Callithrix jacchus: one gene and its partner. The protein of the gene in region 2 binds, or shares a complex with, the protein of the main gene of each other region. Links are inferred from orthologs where the notes say so. Each region holds a gene or a part of one and is shown on either strand. Other genes may lie near its edges.

What was found. The genes of interacting proteins can lie anywhere in the genome.
Region 1: PAK1 (region 2) and DCP1A share a complex: the UniProt entries of both Homo sapiens proteins name them as parts of the cytoplasmic complex. The link is inferred for Callithrix jacchus from reciprocal best matches to the Homo sapiens genes PAK1 and DCP1A.

Annotation. Positions count from the first base shown.
Region 1 is NC_133516.1:35,874,420-35,878,815, reverse strand, and holds part of DCP1A (mRNA-decapping enzyme 1A), read left to right. Parts: intron 1-668; coding exon 669-709; intron 710-2,987; coding exon 2,988-3,115; intron 3,116-4,396. UniProt on the Homo sapiens protein: Necessary for the degradation of mRNAs, both in normal mRNA turnover and in nonsense-mediated mRNA decay. Removes the 7-methyl guanine cap structure from mRNA molecules, yielding a 5'-phosphorylated mRNA fragment and 7m-GDP.
Region 2 is NC_133511.1:63,591,994-63,596,389, reverse strand, and holds part of PAK1 (serine/threonine-protein kinase PAK 1), read right to left. Parts: intron 2,162-4,396; coding exon 1,987-2,161; intron 1-1,986. UniProt on the Homo sapiens protein: Protein kinase involved in intracellular signaling pathways downstream of integrins and receptor-type kinases that plays an important role in cytoskeleton dynamics, in cell adhesion, migration, proliferation, apoptosis, mitosis, and in vesicle-mediated transport processes.

The DNA of each region.
Region 1 (4,396 bases), on a different chromosome or scaffold from region 2:
AGGCTGGAGTGCAATGGCGCCATTTTGGCTGACTGCAACCTCCAGCTCCCTGATTCAAGCTCCTGCCCCAGCCTGCCGAGTAGCTGGGATTACAGGCATGCGCCACCACGCCCAGCCAATTTTTGTGTTTTTAGTATTGACGGGGTTTCACCATGTTGACCAGGATGGTTTCAATCTCCTGACCACATGATCTGCCTGCCTCTGCCTCCCAAAGTGGTGGGATTACAGGTGTGAGCCACTGCACCTGGCCCCTTTCTTTCTTTTTTTAAAATTAACTTGTATAAACTTTAAAGGAGAAGATATTGCAGTATACAGGAACTTAGCTTTAAAGAAATCTGACTAAAACATTTTAGCTTTAAAAAGTGAAGGTTTATTCTATGATTTTTCTCCTTTACTAATTAAAAAAAAAATGCTGCAGATACAGACATGTTGCTGGATTAAAAACAATCCATATGCTTATGTATGTATCAGTAGCACTGAAAGGATACATTAGACATAGTAACCACAATTTATGGAATGAGAGGGAGACTTTACCTCAAAAGTGGTTAATTTTATAATAAATGAAATGAAACAAGTAGATCTTAAACATGACGCATTACTTCTCCATTGGGACTATTTGGGGTTGGATTATGGGGAAAAAAAACTAATTGACTCATTGTCTATCATAGGAGAAGACTGATATAGAAGGGACCTTATTTGTATATCGAAGGTAAGTTTTTAAAATATGTATATTTGTTTTTAACAGTCTAATGGTGAACAGTGTCAAACAGTTCAATTCTGTTGTACATTTGTCTTTGGAACCTTCCTGCTACTCCCCTTCAAGTTTTTATTCTTCTCTAGCTGTGAAATCTTAACCAAGTTCTTTTCTCTGAGCCTTTCTGTGATTCAGAAAAAACGGAACTAGAATTTATATTAGCAGCCTAGCAAAGCAATTTCAAATGATTGAGTCTAAAACAGATGCCTGCCTCTCTCCCCTTGCCCCCATATTAGAAAGAAAAAAAAAAGGCATATATTTGGGGAAAAGGCAATACATAGACTAGCTCTATAAAATAATGTAATTGAGAGGTCGATCCCTCTGTTCTTTTCTTCTGTGCCTGGTTCTGTCCTCTTTCCCAACCCCCAGAAGTTCTAGATTATGTGTAGTATCTTGTTTGAGAGTTCTTTAGAAAGCTTGGATTATTCACGATAGCATGAATTTTTTATTTTCAACTTCTTCGAAAACTGATTAACTTTAAGATTGTCTTTAAGATAATCACATCTTAAATGTGATTGGTTTGCACATTGCAACTTTTTTGTTATGTAGCTTTTGGGGCCTAAAGACAACTGACACTATATTATAGTCACAGGGTCCTTGGCTTTCCTGGATATTCCTCTAAGGTCTTACTGTGACAGGAACAGGTTCCTTCCCTTGTTTTCTAAAGCTTAGTGAGTCAGTAGGAGTTACTACTGACATCTGGTCTTTTCCTTTTCTTTCTTTCTTTTTTTTTTTGTATGGAGTTACCTTTTAAGGATTGCCTTTCTTCATTGATGCTAATTTAAAAGAATTTGTCAAATAGTCTTCTAAATTTTGATACAAAGCTTTGAGATCTTGTCTAAACGCACTCATTTTTTCCTTCTTTTAAGTGTAATTCTTTGATATTTGTACACCAAGCTCTTCTTTCTTAGACGCTTTGTTCCCTGCTATTCATCTTTCTCCTTTTAAATAGGCAGGGATCTTTACCCTCACTCTCTTCATTCGTAATATAAATCTCTAGAAACTCTGTTATTAGAATCTTGGTTTCTATGACATTTGGAAAAATAACTTTACTGGCTTTATTGTTATAGTACAGAAGCACTGATTGTAGAAAGTGGGAGATTTAGTGTAGTGAGTGTATGGATTTAATACAATTCGCGGAGGCTTACTGGTACTGATTCTAATTAAAGGAAACCGAAGAAACTTTGTTTGGAAAATGTGAGACTATTTTGCGTACCTTGGATAAAGGTATACCTGGATGTCAGAATATCACTTTGCAGAGATTACTTCGTATAGAAGAAGCCTGGATTTGGAGTCAAAAACCTGAAACTGAATCCTAGTTACATTATTTGTATGACCTCAGGCACAGGCCTTAATCATTCAAAACTTGTCTCCTAATCTCTCTATGTGTATCCTAGATAAACAAATAAAAATCTATGAAGTGTTAGGTACAAGTGAAGAGTATCTAAGGGGTCATGTACTGAATCCCTCTAATATGGGAACCGAGGATGCTTCCTATTGTAGATTCAAGGCATTTTTCATCTAACTCAGGAGCGCTATGTAAAGATCAATTTGGTGCAAGAAAAGCCATTATTATAATGATGGGCAGTCATTATAGCCAATCCAATTGAATTGATATTTCATTCAGCAGTGGTGTGTCTATCTTAGGAAATATGTGTGAAAAACTTAAGACAAAAGCTTCATTTGCATGGGGCTTACATCCTAGTGGGGGGAGGACAATAAATATTAAAAATAAGTGGTATGGATAAAAGAGGAAGATTAGAGACATTGAGCTTGGGAACATTAAAAAGGGTAGTTATTAAGAAGTGACATCTGAACAAAAGCTTGCAGATGAGATACCTATTGCAGATTCTGGGGCAGTGATCCAGGCAGAGGTCTTTAGGTAGAAGCACACATGTAGAGAGAGTGGCAAGGAGCCCAGTGTGGCTGGAGAAGAGTTGCTGGGGAAGAGCAATAGGAAACCAAGTCGAAGGGGGAGTACCTCAAGTAAAGCCTTGGTGGCCTCAATAAAGACTTTGGCCTTTACTCTAAGGAACTGTCTTTAGAGACTTCTCATCAGAAGAGGAGTATGATCTGACTTAATTGTTTTGTTTCCAGGTTTAAGTGCGGATAATATTGTATAGTGTTCTAACTTATTTATTCTTTTTTGAAATGAAAATAAAGTACATAGTAGATAACATTTCTACAGATTAAATGGTAACTAAGTATTTTTTTTTCTTCTGTTAAATCTAAGGTCAGCTTCCCCTTATCATGGTTTTACCATTGTGAATCGACTAAATATGCACAATCTAGTTGAACCAGTGAATAAAGATTTGGAATTTCAGCTCCATGAACCATTTCTTCTGTATAGAAATGCAAGCTGTAAGTATATCTGTTTCAATATGATTATTACATTTAAAATTGAGTGACCTTAGTTTCTATCAATCCATTATTTAGGAAGTTTCAAATTACAAAACAAAATATGGTCTGTACTTTATAAATGAGTCTGTTAGGAAGATCAAATCTTTTAAACTGGGCTCTGAGGCCAGGTGTAGTGGCTCACACCTGTAATCCTAGCACTTTGGGAGGCTGAGGAGGGCAGATCACCTGAGGTCAGAAGTTCAAGACCAGCCTGGTCAATGTAGTAAAACCCCATCTTTACTAAAAAATACAAAAATTAGCTGGGTCTGGTGGTGCACGCCTGTAGTCCTAGCTACTTGGGAGGCTGAGGCAAGACAATGGCTTGAACCCTCGAGGCAGAGGTTGCAGTGAGCTGAGATCTTGCCTTTACACTCCAGCCTAGGTGACGGAGCAAGACTCCGTCTCAAAAAAAAAAATTAAAAAATAAAGAGATTCAGAGATGCATAACAGATATTCTGTTGAAGAGTTAGGATTACAACTCTTCTGCTTTCTAGTCCAGGGTTCTTTCAGGCATTTTTACAGTCTCTAGTAATGATTGGATGCATTCAGCAAAGCTAGACTGGCCTTCCCAAGAAAGTACAGTACTAAAAAATATATTTGTTTCCAGTATTTTAGTATGGATATTGAAAGTATGGGTGTTTGAGGACAAATTGTTTGTCATTGACTATAGAGATCAAAATTAGTTGTGGTAACAATGATTGTGCTCTAATTATCATCTTAAGGATATTGTTGGAGAAATGTTGCTTCTAACTTAAAAAGTAAAAGTTAATGTGTTTGAATTTCACTCAGCCAGGAGGTAATTGGTCTTGGTGGGGGATGTCTTCAGTATAAAATAGAAAACTTTACTAGAAATTGTACACCTCTTAATTCCCTGAATGAGAAGTAACAAGGTCTATTTTAAAGCTAGAAATCCCCAAGTTCTTTTCCATAGCTCATTTTTAAGTATAAGTGAAACAGGATCTATCTTTAGACTTTTCAGTAAACTATTTTTCCAGGTAATTACCTCTCAGATTTTAAATTCTGTGGACGTAGACATGCTTTGTAATAGCTGTAAGTTCAGATGGATTTATTTAAACTAATATTAATAATGTAATTATTTCGGATTGCTCTTTTCTTTGTACTGAATATTCCATTAAAGGGAAAACTCGGCTGGGCATGGTGGCTCACCCCTGTAATCCCAGCACTTTGGGAGGCCAAGGCAAGTGGATTGCTTGAGCCCAGGAGTTCAAGACCAGCCTGGGC
Region 2 (4,396 bases):
AAAGAACTACCTCCAACAGCCAAAAAGCATGCTAAATAGGCCCTCAGCTTTTCCCCCGTAAGTCCCAACCAAAAGTTTCATCTCTTTAACTGCTTTGATTCATAGTAAGCTATCCCATTTCTAAACTCCTAAAAATCTATGCATTCATTTTTTAATTAATCCATTCAATAAATATTTACTCATTTAATATGCACCAAGCCATATGCTGAGGTAGGAATGAACAGATGTGACACAGTCAAGGCAGTCCCTGCTCTCAAGAAGGTCAATTTCATGGGAGAAGACAGATAAGCATGAAGTTCCATGAAAATATAATTGCTGTGATAAATGACAAAAGGGTACAGAAAGAGGCACCAAAAAAAAAAGAGAGAGAGAGAGAGAGAGACTGGAAAAGCTTCAGAAAGGTGATATATAGACTGATTTCTACTTTAACTAAGTAGGAGTTAGCCAGAGAGATAAGTAGAGAAGAGGTTTACAACAAAGAATACTTCAAGTGCAAAGACATAGAGGTTTTTCATTGGGTATTACAACGTGTATTTTAGGGATGGGGAAATTGAGGCCCACAGAAGGGAAGAAGATACTTCCCCAAGGTCACACAGTAAATTGGTGTCAGAGCTAAGATTAGGAGTTTCGTTTTTAGTCTCCCAGTCCAATGTGCTCTCCATTAATACCCAAGTACTAAAAATTGGTACTTTTCATATAAATTACCTCATTTGATTTACAAATGAGACAAGTATTAACATCCCTATTTTAAAAATGAGAAAAATAAAGTTTAGAGGACAGTAGAAAATTGCCCAAGACACAAGTCAGTGGCTGGGCAGAAGCTTCAACTCAAGTGTCCTACCTCCCAGACCAAGTCTGTTTTCCATAATTCTAGGTATTATTGTTAAAAAAAAAAAATTCTAGTTTAGAGAACAAGACTATATACAGGAGTAACTAGATAACTAGACAAGTGGCTTTTCTTACTTTGTCATTTTATGAGGGATCCAGAAAAGGGCAATTTTTAAAATAGTGAAAATTTTTTTTAAAGTCACACGGGAATTAATCAGGAAGAACTAGAGAACCAGAAACCTTGGCTTTGGAAAGCAATGCCAGTTTGCAAATGTCACCAAATCAGTCACATCAAATCCTCTTTGGAAGTAAGTAGATACAGTGAATAAATTAAAGCCCTTGTCAAATGATTCTTCCAAGCCCACAGATCAACCTAGTTCTTCCTTCTAATATGAATTCTTTTGCAGTTTATACAGAAGTAAGCTACCCTAACATACCCCCATTTCTGGCAGCTAAAGAAAGTAAAATGGAAGTTTCCACTTGACAGCAAGTACATGCTCTACTTACAGGAACAAAAACTTATGTTCTAACCTTAGCCCTGTCACTTTTTAGCTGTGTGATTTTGGCCAGGATGTTTAGCCTCCCTGAGCCTCAAGTATCTTAATTACAAAAATTAGGACCATAATGCTTTTCTTCACAGGGTTAACAAGAGAATTAAATTTTTAAAAGTCAAGAAAATATTTTGCTCGTCATTTGATACATACTACAGGTTCATAAAATGTTAACTTCCCTTCCCTCTTTTCCTACAACCAAGATGGCAGATCTGTCTTCTCCTAGGTCAATGGCAAAACATCAATAATCAATCAGAGTGCCCTTTTCCACTAGGTCCTCAGTCTTTCTCAACATGGCATTCTAGACTATTCATTAGAGAAAAACTATTTGTTATCTCTATAATCCATGCCTAGGGGCAAAGGGTGCCCTACCCTCGAAGTGAGCTATTCACACTCTCTCCCACCACATCTTCATTCTAACATAGTATCCAACCAGGGCTGTAAGACATGGAAGGAAGGTGCAGGGGCAGGGTAAGAAGCAGTCTGTGGCTAAGGTACCAAGCATGGCCAGACAGCCACATGGACAAAGCCTAAAACCAAGAATCTCATCTCTGTGCTTGACCAGTCATGGAGCAAAGAAAGGTTCAGAAAGCTACAAATTCCTTACGTAATTTCTCCAAGATCTCCTCATCAGACATTTTAGGCTTCTTCTTCTGCTTCTCAGTATTCCGGGTCAAAGCATCTGGTGGAGTGGTGTTATTTTCAGTAGGTGAAATGGGAGATGTAGCCACGTCCCGAGTTGGAGTGACAGGAAGTGGTTCAATCACAGAGCGTGTGTATACCTGCATTATTAGTGCAAAATTTTGGCAAGGCCAGCCTTTGTTAGCATAGGGGAACCTCTCCTAGATGTGAGGTTAGAACATCCACAGAACAAATCCCAATAAACTCATCCTTTCTCCTATGTCCAAATTTATATTACGCCTCCTCTGTGCCCAGGCCCATCCATTCTGGGTAAAACGGCCTTCCTTGCTCTCCCTGTACACAATAGAAGTGAGAATCTCAGCACTAAAGATATTCAATAGAGGCTAGACAACTATCAAAAGAAATTAGTTAAAGACAATTTTATTAGATAAGTATCCCCTTCATCTGTAACATTTTATGCATCCCCAAGCTAAAAGAAATACCCTGTATTCCCAGAGCACTTTGCATTAGTAGCACAACACCAACTTCTATTGAGTTACTCCCTCCTTACATCCTGAACCCTTGCAGGGAAGGAACTACTTTTGTTCTTCATCAAGAGGCAGTACAGTGTGGTAATTTAGAACACAGACTCTGGAACCTGACTGCCTGAACTTAAACCCCAACTCTTTATTTTTACCTTCTACATGACTTTGGGCAGATTACTTAACTTCACTGTGCTTCACTATCCTCATCTATAAAGTGGTGATAATAATGACACCTATTTTATGGGGTTGCTATAGGAGTAAACTGATTAATATGTGAGGTAATCAGAATCATCCCTAGCAGACATTAAGCACTCAAATTTTATCTTTCAAAAATATTAAATGTTCTATTCATCATTTACATAACAAACATTTACTGGGAATCTACTTGTCTCACCTTGTATAAAATGCTACTCCATCCTCTCATTCTTATAAAGGAGGTGAGAAAATCATAAGTACAAGAAAGGGATAAATGTCATAAAGAAATGAGCAAGCTATATACTACTGAGGTTCAGAAATGATTGTTAAGTTATGCTTCCTTTCTCTAGGGGATGCTTCAAGGTATTTATCAGATTTTATCATAAAAATATCACAATTATTGTTTGCATAGTCTATAAGCTGTATAAGGACAGGGAATGTGGGTCATTCATCCCTGAGTTCCTCCACCTAACCACTTAACAAAAAAGCAAGGATTCAGGTAAATATTTGGTGGAATAAATGAATAAACAGGATCCTTCAGCAGGATCCTGAAAGATGGATAGGCTTCTACAAAGAACAGAGGATGATTTATCTATGATGATCATTTATCTGCAAAGATGCAAAGCCATTGGCAGCAGCAGGACTCAAACCCACGGCTCCACAGACACTAAAACCTACTAAATCCTGCACCTTGGACTGCTTGACCACGCTACCTTTTGACTGGATGGGCTTTTAATAGGTGGAAATGGGAGAGAACTTTCCATGTAGTGGGAACAGCAATAAGCCAAGACACTAAGATCAGAGGCAATGGCTTCTTTCCTGATTACTACTCTAGTATAATGATTGCTCAATTTTCTATTCTTGTACCTGTAGACAAACTATATCCCAGGCACCTAAACCTATACTTTCATGCCTTGACCTCTTTTGCCTGTCCTGATATGTCTCTTTGAAGACAGCTTGCCTTTTCCTTCTCTAATAGTCTCCTTCTCTGGCTTCTAGCACAGGTTTACACATACAAAAATACCACTGTGCTATGATGCAAAACAACCTGGAGTTGGGGGTAATTACCTGCTTTCAAATCCTGGCTCTTTAGTTTACTAAGAGACTGGGCAGATCAATTCACCTCTCCAAATCTCAGCTGCTTCTTATATAAATTAGGAATTAACAATACCTTTTTAGAAAGAAATGCTATGAAGATTGAATTTATCAATCTATTCATTCATTCAATATTTACTGCCCTCTGATATTTACCCACCTCTGCAGGTGCCAAGAACTATGTTAAGCACTAGAAATAAACACATATGGATATCCTCTACTTTTTGAGGTGTTCATGGCTTACTGAGAAAAAAAGTCTTAAATGAACATGTTTACAAACCAAAAGAAACCATATCAGTGTTAGCAACTCTCCAATTCTGAAGCCCAATTTTCCTTAAGGTAATTTTGTGACCTACAGAGAAGATGATTCCACAGATTCTAAGTTCTCATCCTAAAAGGTCATGTAATTCCTTTGAATTTCCTACACGGCATCTCCAATAGTCATTCAATCAATTTCTGTTTGAACACCTCCCTGAATGCTGTATTACAGGGGCCTTTTTCTTTTCTTTTTTATTTCATGATCACAGAAGTTAAGTCCTAGATGATTCCTTCATCATGGAG